2 linked regions of the Macaca mulatta genome follow. Each later gene encodes a partner of the first gene's protein in a complex. Links are inferred from orthologs where the notes say so. Each region holds a gene or a part of one and is shown in the gene's direction. Other genes may lie near its edges.

Region 1 (7,764 bases):
GCAGACTCCTAGGAACCGGCTCAGCGTGCTTGGCCCCACCAGCCTCTACGCTGCCCTGCAGGGGAGGAGGAAGGGAAACCTCAGGCTGCTGGGAGACCTGGTCCTTCCCCTGGGAGCCTGCAGAGATGGCGTCCATGCTCACTTTCCCCAAGAGCCCCAGTGCGTCGGCCTCCCTGCCTCCCTCCCTGAGGGGTTGGGGCTGGGCACTGGGTGCCAGGACAGTGGTGTGGGAGGCTGGAGGAAGGGGTGATTGTCTTAACGGTGTGAGGGAATGAAAGTCGTGATCTGGATAAAGACCAAGGGGAGGGGTGAGCCTGGGACAGGGTTTTCCAGGGAGCGAGAGCAAATGGGCATGTGCAAAGGTCCCGCACCCACAGGAGGGAGCTCGGCGCCCTGAAGCATCGCAGGAAGGAGCCTGGGGGCCGTGAGGCTGGAGGGGCTATGGAGGGGCACCCCAAGGGCTGGCATCTTCTGAGGGGCAGTGCCTCAGGAGTGTTAGTTGAGGTGACCATGCTCCTGTGGGCCAAGTCGCCCTGGACCCAGTGAGGAGAATGGTTGGAACAGGCTGGTGAGAGCTGGTGGGAGGGCTGGTGACATGACGGTGGTAGCAAGCACGTGCAGGGGCTGGCGGGTGACAGCAGCGGAGGTGGGGACTTGGGGACGATGGGCGTGCAGGGCTTCAGATGTGAGCAGTTGCAGGCCTCCTGGGTAGTAGATGGAGGGCAGCAGCAGAGAGGTCACGGCTCACCCTGTGCCTCCTTGACCTCATCGATAGCGTGGTATGGGCAGCCCCGGTCAAGCTGGAATCAGGCGCCACCGTTGCTGTCAGTAGGAGGAGGTCAGCCTCAGAGGTTTCCCCATGCTGAGCCACAGGGCCCCCATTCTGCCCTAGAGCTGGGCTGAGCGACAGACCCAGGCTTGACGCTGTCAGACCCCCTGTGAACCCTGCCCCATATCTCAGAATCCTCTCGGCTCCTCCGACTGGGTCCCAGGATGACTTGGGTCTGCCTTGCTTCCGGAGAGGGAACCAGGGGCACGTGGGGCTGCACAGGAGGTTGAGGCAAGCGACCCGCCCCCCAGGCCTTGCCTCTCCCCAACGTTGGCCACCCATCCTGCTCCGGGCAGCACTCGTCCACCTTGGTGGCCCAGTTAACAGCGACTTGTGAACGGGCACGGGGGGTCCTCTGGGTGCTGGGTGGCTTTCCGTCTCATGGCCGCCCTTTCCCCCACAGCACCAGGAGCAGCACTCGGAGGGCCGCAGCGCCCCCTCTAGCGAGCCACACCTCATCTTCGTGTACGAGGACCGACAGATCCTGGAGGACGCAGCAGCGCTCATCAGCTACTACGTGAAGCGGCAGCCGGCCATCCAGAAGGAGGACCAGGGCACCATCCACCAGCTGCTGCACCAGTTCGTGCCCAGCCTCTTCTTCTCTCAGCAGCTGGACCTGGGCGCCTCTGAGGAGTCAGCCGACGAGGACCGGGACAGCCCCCAGGGGCAGAGCACAGACCCCAGCGAACGGAAGAAGCCGGCGCCAGGACCCCACAGTAGCCCCCCAGAGGAGAAGGGGGCCTTTGGGGATGCCCCGACCACTGAGCAGCCACCCCCGCCACCCCCACCGCCACACAAGCCTCTGGACGACGTCTACAGCCTCTTCTTTGCCAACAACAACTGGTACTTCTTCCTGCGCCTGCACCAGACCCTGTGCTCCAGGCTGCTGAAGATCTACCGCCAGGCGCAGAAGCAGCTCCTGGAGTATCGGACCGAGAAGGAACGGGAGAAGCTGCTGTGTGAGGGCCGCAGGGAGAAGGGCAGCGACCCCGCCATGGAGCTGCGGCTGAAGCAGCCCAGTAAGGCTCCGAAGCCTGCCGGAGGCCCTGGGGGGTGCCTGGGGTTTGGGGTCGCAGCTCATGATCTGACATGTCCTGTTACTTTTCTTCCTGGTTTTTCGTTTTAAGAGAATTCTGTGATTTCAGATGGGAAATTGCAAACAGGAAGTTGCCAGCATAAGACAGAGGTCTCAGGTACCCCTCGCCCAGGCTCCGCCGGCACTGGCACCTGTCCTGGGTGTAGCACCCTCTCCTGACCGGGGAACCTTTGTTTTTCATGGGCCTTCTCGTGGAGCCGTCACGGCCCAGCTCCACAGTGCCCTTTTACTTTCTTTTTTTTTTTTTTTTTTTTTTTTTTTTGAGATGGAGTCTTGCGCTGTTGCGCAGGCTGGAGTATAGTGGCGGGATCTCGGCTCACTGCAACCTCCACTATCCTGGGTTCAAGTGGTTCTCCTGCCTTAGCCTTCCAAGTAGCTGGGATTACAGGCGGTTGCCACCATGCCCAGCTGATTTTTTGTATTTCTTTTTTGAAATGGAGTCTTGCTCTGTCGCCCAGGCTGGAGTGCAGTGGTGTGATCTCACTGCAGCCTCTGCCTCCCAGGTTCAAGCAATTCTCTGTCTCAGCCTCTGAGTAGCTGGGATTACAGGCACCTGCCACCATGTCCGGCTAATTTTTTTTGTATTTTTAGTGGAGACGGGGTTTCACCATCTTGGCCAGGCTGGTCTTAAACTCCTGACCTTGTGATCCACCTGCCTCAGGCTCCCAAAGTGATGGGATTACAGGCATGAGGCACTGTGCCCGGCCCAATTTTTTGTATTTTTAATAGAGACAGGTTTTCACCATTTTAGCCAACCTGGTCTCAAACTCCTGAACTCAGGTGATCCGGCTGCCTCAGCCTCCCAAAGCGCTGGGATTACAGGCACGGGCCACCATGCCTGGCTCCACAACACTCTCTGTGCCATCCCTGGGTTGCCGGCCAGATTAGGCAGCCTCAGGGAGGGTGGCAGTGAACGCCAGCTACTTGGGTTTCCTGGTGATTCCCAGATTTGCCCCAGGGGTGGCGGGTGAGGGCTGCTGGGCCCCACGGGGGCATTTGTTGGGGCTCTGTGGTGCCAGAGCTTGGCCTGCGTGGCTTTATGCACTCCAGGAGGCATGTGGATGAAGCGGTGTGTCTCCACAGGTGAAGTGGAGCTGGAGGAGTACTACCCAGCCTTCCTGGACATGGTGCGGAGCCTGCTGGAGGGCAGCATTGACCCCACGCAGTACGAGGACACCCTGCGCGAGATGTTCACCATCCACGCCTACGTGGGCTTCACCATGGACAAGCTGGTGCAGAACATCGCGCGGCAGGTGAGCCGGGCCGGGGCGGGGCCGCCCCTGAGGACGCTGGAAATGGCCCTGCCGTCACTTCACTCCCACCTGGGAAGGGGGCCCGTGGTCGGCACAGCAAACCTATCCTGTTTTTTCTTAATCGAGACAAAATTTACATAATGTGAAATTACCCATTTGGATGTTCAGTTTGGTAACATTTAGTACATTCACAATATTGTGCAACCACCACCTCTGTCTAGTTCCAGAACATTTCATCTTTCCAAAAGGAGACCCCATCCCCATCAGCAGCCACTCCCCATTCCCCTGCCCCAAGCCCCTGACATCCAGTCATCTGCTTTCTGCCTCTGGATTTCCCTCGTGCTTCATTCCTATTTATGGCTCTGTAGTAGTCAGTTGCATGGGTAGCTACGTTTCGTTTCTCCGTCTCGGCTGTGGCTGCCTTACAGAGATTGTGAGCACTGCTGCTCTGAATATTTGTGTACAGGTGTTTGTTCTGAGTTCCTGTTGACAAACCGTTCTTGAGGATAAATTGACAACATGGAAAAAACCTTAACCCACTTATCCTGGGGGAGGGTGGGAGTAGCGGTGTTCATCCGCGTTGGTTTTAGTAGTAGCAAAAACCCGGCCCCCGCTGAATGTCAACGCAAGGAAACCGGTCACGTAAACATAAACAGCAGACATCCCAGACGAGCTGGGTGTGGTTCCAGGACGTGGGTCCTGCTTGGTTTTTGCCAGAGTCATTGTTCATGGTGACCTCTGTTTCCTGGTCACCCAGTAAGGCTGTTCGTCATAAAGCGGGGAAAAAAGCTGGAAAAAAATAATGCCATTACTCTCCCACCCAGACACAGTTACAAGAAGCATTTCAGACAGGATGTTTCCTTCCAGGTTTTAAAGATTGCTTAATGCAAGTAAAATACACACGCAGAAAAGTTCCCAAATTTGAAGGGGGCAGATGGATGGGCTTTCATCAAAAGAACCCCTGCCCCTGTGTCCCCACCCAGCCACCTGCCACCCATGGACACTCACAACCCTGATTTCTTCTTCTTCTTTTTTTTTTTTTAAGACAGAGTTTTGCTCTTGTCACCCAGGCTGGAGTGCAATGGCGCGATCTCGGCTCACAGCAACCTCTGCCTCCTGGGTTCAAGCAGTGCTCCTGCCTCAGCCTCTTAAGTAGCTGGGATTACAGGTGCATGCCACCACACCCGGCTAATTTTTGTATTTTTAGTAGAGGAGGGGTTTAACCATGTTGGCCAGGCTGGTCTTGAACTCCTGACCTCAGGTGATCCGCCTGCCTCTGCCTCCCAAAGTGCTGGGATTGCAGGCGTGAGCCACGGCACCCGGCATCACAACCCTGATTTCTACACAGAGGTAGATCCTGGTCTTGAGCCGTGTGTTAACAGAAGCACACAGTGCCCGGCTGCATCCTGGGAGTGTCATTCTGTGAGATTCCTGTGTTGAGATCAACCAGCCAAGGATTCCCAGGAACGACCCCCACTCCGTCCACCTGTCTCCTGAGGACAGGCATGGGTGGTGCCCCGTGGGTGCGTCTCGTGGCCGTCCATGTACATTTCTGCTGCTGCCCTTGGGGTGAGGCAGAGAGAGGTGTGTCTCACTGATGGAAACTTTCAGTTTCCTGGATCACTCCCACCATTGCTGTGCCAGGCCGCACTCCGTGTCCTCCCTGGGGCGTCTCTCCATCAGCTGGGAGCTGTTCGAATCTCGGTGGGCTCACATTAAATTTCCCTGATGGCTCATGTGTGTGGTTGGGGCCTTGTCCTTTCATGGCCGTTGGGACATCTTTTCTCTTGGAAAGCTGTCCACGGTGTTTGTGCCTGTTTCCGTCGAGTCTGCCTTGTTGGTGACTGGGAGGATTTCTATGTCTGGCCACAAGGACTTCGTGAAACCCACAGCTGCGTTCCGACACCGTCACTTAAGCCTCCTCCACTTTCCCTCTGTGTGCCCGAAACAGGTCCCTGCCCATCACCATCCACAGCAGTGGCTGCTCCCCCAGTGAGGGAGACACGCATGGGGCAGCCTGGAGAGAGAACGCCCAGGGCCCAGCGCACGGTGTTGGGGCAGCGATGAGGGGGATGCCGGGGCCTGGCAGTCTGCCCTCCCAGGCCGGGCACCCCTCATGGGCCATGGCTTTGGGGACAGCAGCCTTGCTTGTGGCACCAGGAGATTGGACCAAATGGTTTATGGAAAGCATTGATTAGTGCTTTAAAAGAATCTCCCGCTTCCATAAACATCTCCTCTAGAACCTGTTAAAAACAAAGCAATGAAAATGGGCTGTCTGGCTGGAGCCGTAGTCAGAGCCTCGTGCTGCCCTGCTGTCCTGGCTGTGGCCTCACCAAACCCCACCTGTAGCTCACTGGGCCAGGTGCTCACCGCGGGCCCCTCCCTGCTGTTTGTAACCTGCCTCGAGGCCATGTCTGGACTCTGCCTCCCTTTATCTTAAAAATTAGCATTGCTGTTTTTCAGCAGTAGCAGTAGGCATTCAGTGGGCACCTGCTGTGTGCCAGGTGCTGTCTGAAACCTGTGCGTGTCCAGGTGGTATTGTATCCATTCACCAAAGCTGCACACGGAACCCCCAGGCAGTGTGGTCCCCTGACCAGGGCCTGGGCTGTGCAAGCGGGTGTTTCACACCAGCCTTGTCTGCCCCACAACCCCTGCTGTTTCCATTCCTTCCTTCTTCAGTGCAAAGGTGAAAGGAATAGCAATGTATTTACATCCAAGCATTTAGGGGAAAGGAACAGCCTGCACTCATACCACCTTCAGCTCATTCCAGGGTTTGCTTTGGAACATTTTTTTCCGTGTCTTTTCTATGTGTTTCTCACACGCACACAGGGTTTGCTGGTCTGGCTTGGTCTGATCTGGCCTGGTCTGTTTTGTTCAGGTCTGGTCTGGTCTAGTCTAGTTTTGGTCTGGTCTGGCCTGGTCTGGTCTAGTTTTGGTCTGACCTGGTCTGACCTGGTCTAGCCTGGTCTGGTCTGGTTTTGGTATGGTCTGGCCTGATCTGGTCTGGTCTGGTTTGGTTGGGTTTTGGTTTGGTCTGGTTTGGTCTGGTCTGATGTTGGTCTGGTTTGTTTTGGTTTGGTTTTGGTCTGATTTGCTCTGGTCTGATCTGGTCTGGTCTGGTTTGCTTTTGATTTGGTCTGATTTTGGTCTGGTCTGGTCTGATCTGATCTGGTTTGGTTTGGCCTGGTTTTGATTTGGTCTGGTTTGGTCTGGTCTGATTTTGCTCTGGTTTGGTTTGGTTTTGGTCTGGTCTGGTTTTGGTCTGGTCTGATCTGGTCTGGTCTGGTTTGGTTTTGATTTGGTCTGATTTGGTCTGGTCTGCTTTGGTTTGGTTTTGGTTTGGTGTGGTCTGGTTTTGGTCTGGTCTGGTCTGGTTTTGATCTGGTCTGGTTTGGTTGGTTTTGGTTTGGTCTGATCTGGTCTGGTCTGGTCTAATCTGATCTGGTCTGGTCTGGTCTGATCTGGTTTGGTCTGATTTGGTCTGGTTTGATCTGGTCTGGTCTGTTTTGGTTTGGTCTGGTCTGGCTTGGTCTGGTTTGGTCTGGTCTGGTATGGTTTTGATCTGGTCTGCCCTGGCCTGCACACAGCCTGTCAGGATCCTGGTCTTCATCCCTGTGCCTTGCAGTCTCCATCCTGACTTGTTTCTGGCCTTTGCCAACTTCCTCCGTGGGTGAGATGGGGGCTCCTGCAGGAGGCAGGGTGGCCGCACCACCTGCTTTCCTCCTGCCAGTTGCACCACCTCGTGAGCGACGACGTCTGCCTGAAGGTGGTAGAGCTCTACCTGAATGAGAAGAAGCGGGGCGCTGCCGGTGGGAACCTGTCCTCCCGCTGCGTCCGCGCCGCCAGGGAGACCAGCTACCAGTGGAAGGCCGAGCGCTGCATGGCCGACGAGAACTGCTTCAAGGTGAGAGGAGGCTTGGGGCTTACAAGCCGGGAAGCCCAGCCACTCACTCAGCTCTGGACTCGGTCCTGGGTGGACCCTGGTTCAGCGGCTGGGACGTCGGCCCTGCTGCAGAGCCCGGGAGGTACCATTGACCTACAGGAAGCGTCAGGGCTTTGGAAGGGTGGCAAAGGTGGGTGGCGGGTGGCCTTGCGAGCCTGCGCTGTGCCGGCTGGGCTGTCCCAGCAGTTGAGGTTGTCGGCGTCCCTGCTCCGCAGGTGATGTTCCTGCAGCGCAAAGGGCAGGTGATCATGACCATCGAGCTCCTGGACACCGAGGAGGCCCAGACGGAGGACCCTGTGGAGGTCCAGGTGAGGCCCTGGCCCCAGGCCGTGCCACGCACACCAGGGAGCGCCTGAGGGCAGCAGCATGGGGCTCCCACCAGCCAAGCGCGGGCTGCGCAGCATCCAGAGATCCTCCCTCTGCAGGCGGCAGGCTCTGCTTGAGGCCTGGTGGGTGGGGTTGCCTCCCTCCCTGCTCCCCCACCAGGCTGTCTTCTGTGCCCCCTCTCCAAAGAGCAGACCGCTCCTCCTGAGCCAGCAGGTGCATCCCAGGGCAGGAGGGGAGCCAGGCCACCTCTCCCTGGCCCCCGACTCCCACGCAGGGCATCCCCGTGGCTGACCTCTGCACCTCCCGTGTCAGGGCT
Region 2 (7,764 bases), on another chromosome or scaffold:
GGCCATTCGGGACGGGGAGCTGATCTGCAATGGGATCCCTGAGGAATCACAGATGCACCTTTTGAACTCTGAGCACTTAGCCACCCAAGCAGAGCAGCAAGAGGTGAGTGAAGGCAGGGCTGGGATTCCAAACCCAATCTTCCTTCCATGTCACCACAGCTGTTATCGGAAGTAGCCTCAGTGTCATTCTTATTCCAGTCCCCACCCACCCTCATCCTAACCCCTCAAGAGTTGAGTAATCCAGGGGGAACCTCTGACTCAAATCCCAAAGGCAAGTAAGAGATCTACAAAGGCAACTGGTCTACTTCTCTCCGTTGTTACCCCAGTGCACTGTGAGATGGTCAAATCTATACTGTAGAAAGAGATGAGTAGACCCATAGAGAGGTTAGGTGATAGTGCTGGACATACCACAGGTGCTCGGGGTACTTGCTGAATATTGGTCACAAGTAAGCCTTAAAGGCAGAGTCAAAATGCAGATCCCAAGCTCTGTTGGCCAGAGGATGTGTTTCCTGCTGAGGGTACCCACAAGTCTTGCTTGGGAATGGAAATGGAATTCTGTGAGGAGTCAAGCACACTTTTTGTGAGCATTTGCAATGGGACCTTGGAAACTGCTTGTCAGCTCTGCTGCAGCCCTAACCACTGTGGCAGGAAGGACCAGCACCTCTCAGACCTCTCACCCCCGTCTCCTCTCCTCTCCTTCCATTGCAGTGGCTCTGTAGTGTTGTTGCGCTCCAGTGCAGCATATTGAAACATTTATCTGCTAAGCAGATGCCTTCGCATTGGGACTCTGAACAGACAGAGAAGGCTGATATTAAGCCTGTTATTGTGACTGACGGCTCAATCACCACCTCCTTGCAAACAGCTGACAAGACACCTACACCTTCCCACTACCCCTTGTCCTGCCCCTCAGGGATTAGCACCCAGAATTCCTTGAGCTGCTCTCCACCCCACCAGCCCCCAGCCCTAGAGGACATCGGCTGCAGTTCTTGTGCAGAAAAATCCAAGAAAACCCCTTGTGGGACTGCCAATGGGCCAGTGAACACAGAGGTGAAAGCTAATGGCCCACACCTCTACAGCAGCCCTACTGATTCCGCGGACCCCCGGCGACTTCCAGGCGCTAACACCCCCCTACCAGGCCTCTCACACCGGCAAGGCTGGCCCCGGCCCCTCACGCCACCAGCGGCTGGGGGCCTTCAGAACCACACCGTCGGCATCATTGTGAAGACAGAGAATGCCACTGACCCCAGCTCTTGCCCCCAGAGGAGTTTGGTTCCTGTCCCAAGCCTGCCCCCTTCCATTCCCAGCTCTTGTGCCAGCATCGAGAACACCAGCACTTTGCAAAGAAAGACTGTCCAATCACAGATAGGACCTCCGTTGACAGATTCAAGGCCACTGGGCTCACCCCCAAATGCCACCCGGGTGCTCACTCCCCCCCAAGCAGCAGGAGATGGTATCTTGGCCACAGGAGCCAACCAACGATTCAGCTCACCAGCGCCATCATCAGGTGAGTGCTGCTCAGCCTTGGGGTGATTTGGAATAATTTTATGCTCTTTCTGGCAAATAAGACAAGATTCCAAAAGCACTTATATCCCTGTGAATACTTCAGAGGACTTTGGCCTCTGTATTGTTTGTCTTACTCCCATTTCCGTAATAGAAGAGGAAGCACATGTTAACTTGTCCCGTTTATAGATGGGACTGCTTAGACTCTGAAAGCTTCAGTGATTTCCTTAAATTGACCTACGGAGTCAGTGGCAGGATTGGAACCACAGCCCAGGTCTCCTGATTCCATCCCACACCTTCCAGGCCTAGGCTTCTGCCTGTTTTGTTCTGTCACCTTAAAAGAAGGCAGGGTGCTCTCTGGAATTACTGTGATCAGCCTGAGGTTCTGCGTGATGGCCTCAGTATTGTTAGATCCGCACAAAAGAATGGATTCATGCTTGATGCATATTCTCAGAGTTCATCTGATGGACTTCCGTGTCAGGAAGCAGGGATAGACAGCAGCACTGTCTTTCAGAGGAGCTGTAGAGTGGGATGCCCACAGGGGTTGGTCTAGCCCAGAAGCTTGCCCTCGGGCCACATGCCAAAGGGCGGTCCTTTAGGTCTGTACTTGGCCTACTGTGGACCTGCTCTCTCAGCTGTCCCCAGACAGCACTCAGTACCTTGAGGTTGCTGACCCCGGCATCTGAACCAGGTTTCAGATGCTGCCGGAACCCCCTGTGGTCTCTCCCGTCTGAACTGAAGCTGGCCTCCTAGTCAGCTGGGAGTCTCGGTAACCAGGTGACTGTGATTTCTCTGCATGGGGGCCCCTGGTCCCAGGATGGCCCCACTCCCAGGCTGTTTTCCTGTCTCTGTTTATCGCTTAATACCAGTGTGGGTAGATTTTCCATGCTGTGAGTCATATTTCAGTAGGCAGGAATTATAAGGGCAGGCACCACTTATTTAAAAGTAGAGGCAGCAGGGAGGTGGTCATGGCCCAAAGAATGAAGCTGCCCCACCACTTTCCCCAGAGCAGTGGATTTCAATGATTCCCAGTGCTCTGGAGACTCCTGCGTGCCCGGGTGCTTTGTCATTCCATCTGCCCTTCCTCACCACACGTTTTTAGCTCTAGGAGTTCCAGAGCCTATGGGTTGAGAATCAAGAAGGGAACATCACCTTGGGTCCGAAATCCAGACCTGTCTCAGCAGTGGGGGATTGGACCGGTGGGTTTCCCTCAGGCGACGTAAGTAACAGTCTTCCTGCTCCGTCCCCAGATGGCAAGGTCAGCCCCGGCACGTTATCCATAGGAAGCGCTTTAACCGTACCCTCTTTCCCAGCCAACTCTACTGCCATGGTGGACCTCACCAACTCACTTCGAGCATTTATGGATGTCAATGGAGGTGAGTGAATGAGCTGCTGCTGTTCCATTGGTTGCTATGTTGAAGGTGCTATTCCTATACAGCATTCAGCTCATTTCAGAAAGGGAGGGAAGGAGCACCTGATCCCAGAGGCCTAGGGGGAGATGGGAATGAGGAGTATCCTTTTGGATAGGGGGGTAGGGTGAAAAAGAAAGCTCCTTCTTTAGCTCTGCCTTCTACCTGTGCATATACACATAATCAAAGATGGAGGGAGGACAGAGCCAAGCTGAACCAGTGAGACAAAAACAAAATCACTTTAGGCAGATCACCTGGATTTGCAGAATAAAACTAGGATCCTCACTCCCAAAGGAGGGACCTCATCTGTGGGAAACCCCTAAAGTCCAGGAGAACAGGGACAGATCTTGATCTCTGTGAACACAAGGTGGGTAGAAAATTCAAGTCTCAATATCAGACATCCAGGCCCTCCCCCACAGACAGGCAAGTGGTTTATTCCACTCTGCCGTTCTAGGAGCACTATTAAAATCAATTCACCCAACTACAGGAGGCAGCTGCACAGGCTGCATTGGGACCCATCTCACTGCAAATAGCAAGTGAAATGCCCAGCTGCAGATCCTTGTATGCTCTGTACTCAATGCTGTTTAAGTAAAAGTTACTTGACTGGATTTTAGAAATGCCGAACTATTTGCTCTGTGACCCTGATTTGCTTCCACATTCCACTTCCATCTCAGCAGCTTTTTAATCTTTCTCTTTGGCTAATAGAAATCGAGATAAATATGCTGGACGAGAAGCTGATCAAGTTTCTGGCCTTGCAGAGAATACATCAGCTTTTCCCCTCCCGGGTCCAACCTTCACCGGGCAGTGTCGGGACACATCAGCTGGCTTCTGGAGGGCACCACACAGAAGGTGCGCATGTACACACCTGTCACCACATCATCAGATCTCCCCTCTACGTGTGCGAATGGTCACCTTGCCTCCATGGAGAATCTGAGCTTCCAGTATTCAAATCTTCTTGTGTGCTTTTCATGGGCTTAATAAAGCACCATGGTTTTTTTCTGAAGAGAGCAGGAACAAGATGGCAACCACAGCTTTCTTATCAGACTTGGGGAAGTCTGCTGTAACTTTCTTTCATATATAAGTCCACTTTGAGACACAGCAAAGCAGCTACCAGTACCTTTGGGTATATGTAGTGTACTTTCTGCTTACTTGCTTTCAAATATTTGAATTAGAAGGGCTTTCCGACTGAGTGCAGTGGCTCACACCTGTAATCCCAGCACTTTGGGAGGCTGAGGCGGGAGGATCACTTGAGCCCAGGAGTTGGAGACCAGCCTGGGCAACACAGTGAGACCCTATCTCTACAAATAATTTTAAACTTAGCCAGGCATGGTGGCATACACCTGTAGTCCCAGCTGCTTGGAAGGCTAAGGTGGGAGAATCGCTTGAGCCTGGGAGGTCAAGGCTGCAGTGAGCTATGATTGCACCACTGCACTCCAGCCTGGGTGACAGGGTGAGACCCTGTCTCTAAATAAATAATAAATAAATAAAATTTTTAAAAGAATGGCTTCCCAAGAAGGAACTTTTCAAGTTCAAGGTGAGAAATAGAATAACCGTAGGCCAGCCTTCTGGAAATTTTCCCCAAGTGGTTAACTCTGTTTCAGGTATGTCTGAGCACTGGCCATTAAAAGCCTTGCTGCTTCAAAGTGTGGTTCCCAGACCAGCAGCATCAGCAGCCCCTGAGAGCTTGTTAGAAATGCAGAGCTCAGTGCATTGGTTTTTTGCCTATTTTTAAAGAAAACAGCAAAAGAAATGCAGAGCTAAGGCCCCTCCTCAGACCTATTGAATCAGAATCTGCATTTCAACAAGATATGTAGGCGATTCATATGCACATTAAAGTTTGAGAAACACTGGTCCATGCGGTCTGTTTTTCCATGTTCTCCCTATAGTACCAGCTGGAATATCCCAGATTAGCCAACCAGGAGCCCAGGAACTTACAGGGTACTGTCATCTCTGACTTCTCTGACTATCTTCAAAGATGGTCCTCTGCACCCTGTGTTGGAAATGCTGTGGGTGGGGAGAGAAAGTCTACCCTGCAGCAGCTCAGTGCTGGATGTGAGTCTGGAAAGATGAGTCATCCAGCGGGATTTTCTCCAGGCCATGAGCCAAAAGTCCAGATTTTGTTGGTTTATGTTTGGATCACAGGATCTGAGTTTCTGAATGATCCTATTCCTATGTTTGTCTTGTAGTGCAAAGAAAGGAGGTACAGGCCCGAGCTGTGTTCTACCCCCTCTTAGGGTTGGGAGGAGCTGTGAACATGTGCTATCGAACCCTCTACATCGGGACAGGTGAGCCAGCCAGGAAGCTGGGAGAGACACTGAATCTGTTCAGCCCTAAAGACTGATACCCTTACCCACAGAAGTTAGAAAGGGGTGAGGGAAGCCCTTTCCAGAGTTGACTGCTTTAAACCAGTGGATAGCTAGACAAGAGAAATTAAGAATAGAGACAATCAGCCGGTCACAGTGGCTCACGCCTATAATCCCAGCATTTTGGGAGGACGAGGCAGGAGGAACACTTGAGCCCAGGACTTCGAGACCAGCCTGGGCAATATGGTGAAACCCCATCTCTACCAAAAACAAATACAAAAAAATTAGCTGGGCACATGCCTATAGTCCCAGCTACTTGGGAGGCTGAGGTGGGAAGATCACCTGAGCCTGGGAGGTCAAGGCAGTGATCCTATTCATGCCACTGCACTCCAGCCCGGGCAACAGAGTGAGACCCTGTCTCAAAAATAAAAGAGACGATCAGTTCCTTGTCTTCCCTTGTTCAGGCCCTTTTGCTTTGTCTTTGCCCAGTGTTGCATCAGCAGAGATGAAAGTCAGCTCTGACTACTGCCCAGGGAGGCACTTTAAACACTGCGGGGAAGAACCCAAGGAGAAGGCAGATGCTTTGTCCCTGGTGGTCTTTGAAAGAGTGATAGGCTCACACATACCCAATCTTCAGTTAGCCCTGTATCTGTTTTTTGTTTTGTTTTGTTTTCCCTAGAAGTCCTAGAGACAGATAGTTCTATATCTGGTACAGAAGGACAGACAGATTAGTCCTTACCCTAGAAACTTCCCTTTCTTTAAGGTGATATGATTTTCTAGGCTCTGCACCCTCTTGTTGTATTTTCATAGAAATATCCCATCCTCTTCAGTAGCTCACTGTTCCCTTCTGGGTAGCAGCCACATGTTCTAAAGCAGATCAGCTGGCAGGGACAGTTGTTCTTTATCAGGAGCTTGGAAAAGACATCAGTTTTTGTTCAAAAATAAAAGGGGAGGGCCCTGAGCTACTCACCCTTGAAGTCTCTGCTAGTGCCAACCCAGAAGCTAACTCCCTCCCTGTCTCACCTCCCCGACACATGCACCTTACAATCTGTTCTCTGCCTTCCTTTTCCTCTACTCCTGCCATCTTGCAGGAGCTGACATGGATGTGTGCCTTACAAACTATGGTCACTGTAACTACGTGTCCGGGAAACATGCCTGCATATTCTACGATGAGGTGAGGGCTGGAGATGCGGTGGGAGGGAGCTTTCCCAACCTAAGGCCTCTCCCAAGCAGTAGGTTTTTGTTCAGTGCCCTGAGGGGAGGGAAGAGGGATTGGGAGTCCTCTCCTTTTCTTCCCTCCCTGTCATTCCTGGAGGAGGACAGTCTTGATGTAAAACAGCATCCTACCAGGGGTACCTGCTTCACAGGAGCAGGGCTACCATTTTTCCTGAGGTTAGTCACAGGCACAGCAGAGGGAGCCTACCCTAAAGCAGGGGAGGGGACCAGCATAGAAGGAAGCCAAGCCCTGTGGATGTGTCCCTGTGAATTTCATTATCATCATGGGCCAGTGAGTATCACACCAAGAGGAGCGGTGCTGAGAAGGCAGAGTGAAGGAGGATTGGGAGAGTAGGGGGTGTGGGACACCGGAAGGAAGGCTTCCCTGAGGAGGTATCTGCAGCCCCCTTCTGAAAGGACAGGGGCCATGACTGGGGAGGCAAGTAAGGGTTCCCTAGGTAGAGCAGCACGGCCTTCTCCATATGTCCTCTCCCCCTAGCCCCATGCCCCACACAGCCAACCACACATCTTATCTCCCCTCCTCCTCCTCAGAATACCAAACATTATGAGCTGTTAAACTACAGTGAGCATGGGACAACGGTGGACAATGTGCTGTATTCATGTGACTTCTCGGAGAAGACCCCGCCAACACCCCCAAGCAGTATTGTTGCCAAAGTGCAGAGTGTCATCAGTAAGTTGGAGCAGAGGTCTGTGGCCACAAAGCTGAGGCCGCAGTCAGGGTGGTTCTGACTTGCTGCCCATGGTCTGTCTCTTGCCTTCTTAGTCCTATTGGCCAAGCTCTACTTCCTCATGGGCCCAGGGCAGGCCACAGAGAAGCAAGTGCTGAGTACCCCCATGTGTGTACACACCTGTGGGGATTTCAGACTCCACCAACCCTTTCTGAGCATCCTTCATCCGTAGTCATGCAGCAGTTGGAATGGGGAGATGCAGGAGCCCAACCTTGGCAAACAGCCCACATGGGTTGGCTGCTCACTGTTCCTCTTCTGTGACCATCCCCCTTTTTCCCAGGGCGCCGCCGGCACCAGAAACAGGATGAAGAGCCAAGTGAGGAGGCAGCCATGATGAGTTCCCAGGCCCAAGGGCCGCAGCGGAGACCCTGCAATTGCAAAGCCAGCAGCTCAAGCTTGATTGGGGGCAGTGGGGCCGGCTGGGAGGGCACGGCCTTACTGCACCATGGCAGCTACATCAAGCTGGGCTGCCTGCAGTTTGTCTTCAGCATCACTGAGTTTGCGACCAAACAGCCCAAAGGCGATGCCAGCCTGCTGCAGGATGGGGTCTTGGCCGAGAAGCTCTCTCTCAAGCCCCACCAGGGCCCT

The links. Proteins that work in one complex are often made in the same cells at the same time.
Region 2: the proteins of SIN3B (region 1) and PHF12 are in contact, whole or in part, in a cryo-EM structure (PDB 8BPA), measured with the Homo sapiens proteins. The link is inferred for Macaca mulatta from reciprocal best matches to the Homo sapiens genes SIN3B and PHF12. Residues at the interface, in NP_056075.1 of Homo sapiens: Glu307, Phe311, Leu318, Glu322, Val323, Tyr324, Glu325, Asn326, Leu328, Arg329, Cys330, Ile331, Leu333, Phe334, Asn335, Glu343, Leu347, Pro350, Phe351, Lys354, Phe365, Lys395, Arg396, Glu490, Glu493, Leu494, Val497, Tyr545, Arg546, Ile547; in NP_001028733.1 of Homo sapiens: Leu20, Met21, Gln23, Ile24, Gln25, Leu27, Leu28, Pro30, Pro31, Lys32, Thr33, Asn264, Leu266, Val267, Leu269, Val271, Val273, Phe275, Thr276, Asn278, Arg279, Ser280, Arg282, Cys292, Pro293, Leu294, Pro316, Asn317, His318, Ile319.

The regions. Positions count from the first base shown.
Region 1 is NC_133424.1:17,360,061-17,367,824, forward strand, and holds part of SIN3B (paired amphipathic helix protein Sin3b), read left to right. Parts: intron 1-1,232; coding exon 1,233-1,848; intron 1,849-3,008; coding exon 3,009-3,178; intron 3,179-6,908; coding exon 6,909-7,082; intron 7,083-7,336; coding exon 7,337-7,429; intron 7,430-7,764.
Region 2 is NC_133421.1:37,628,870-37,636,633, reverse strand, and holds part of PHF12 (PHD finger protein 12), read left to right. Parts: coding exon 1-103; intron 104-708; coding exon 709-1,504; intron 1,505-2,750; coding exon 2,751-2,876; intron 2,877-3,614; coding exon 3,615-3,758; intron 3,759-5,095; coding exon 5,096-5,194; intron 5,195-6,303; coding exon 6,304-6,386; intron 6,387-6,979; coding exon 6,980-7,118; intron 7,119-7,456; coding exon 7,457-7,764.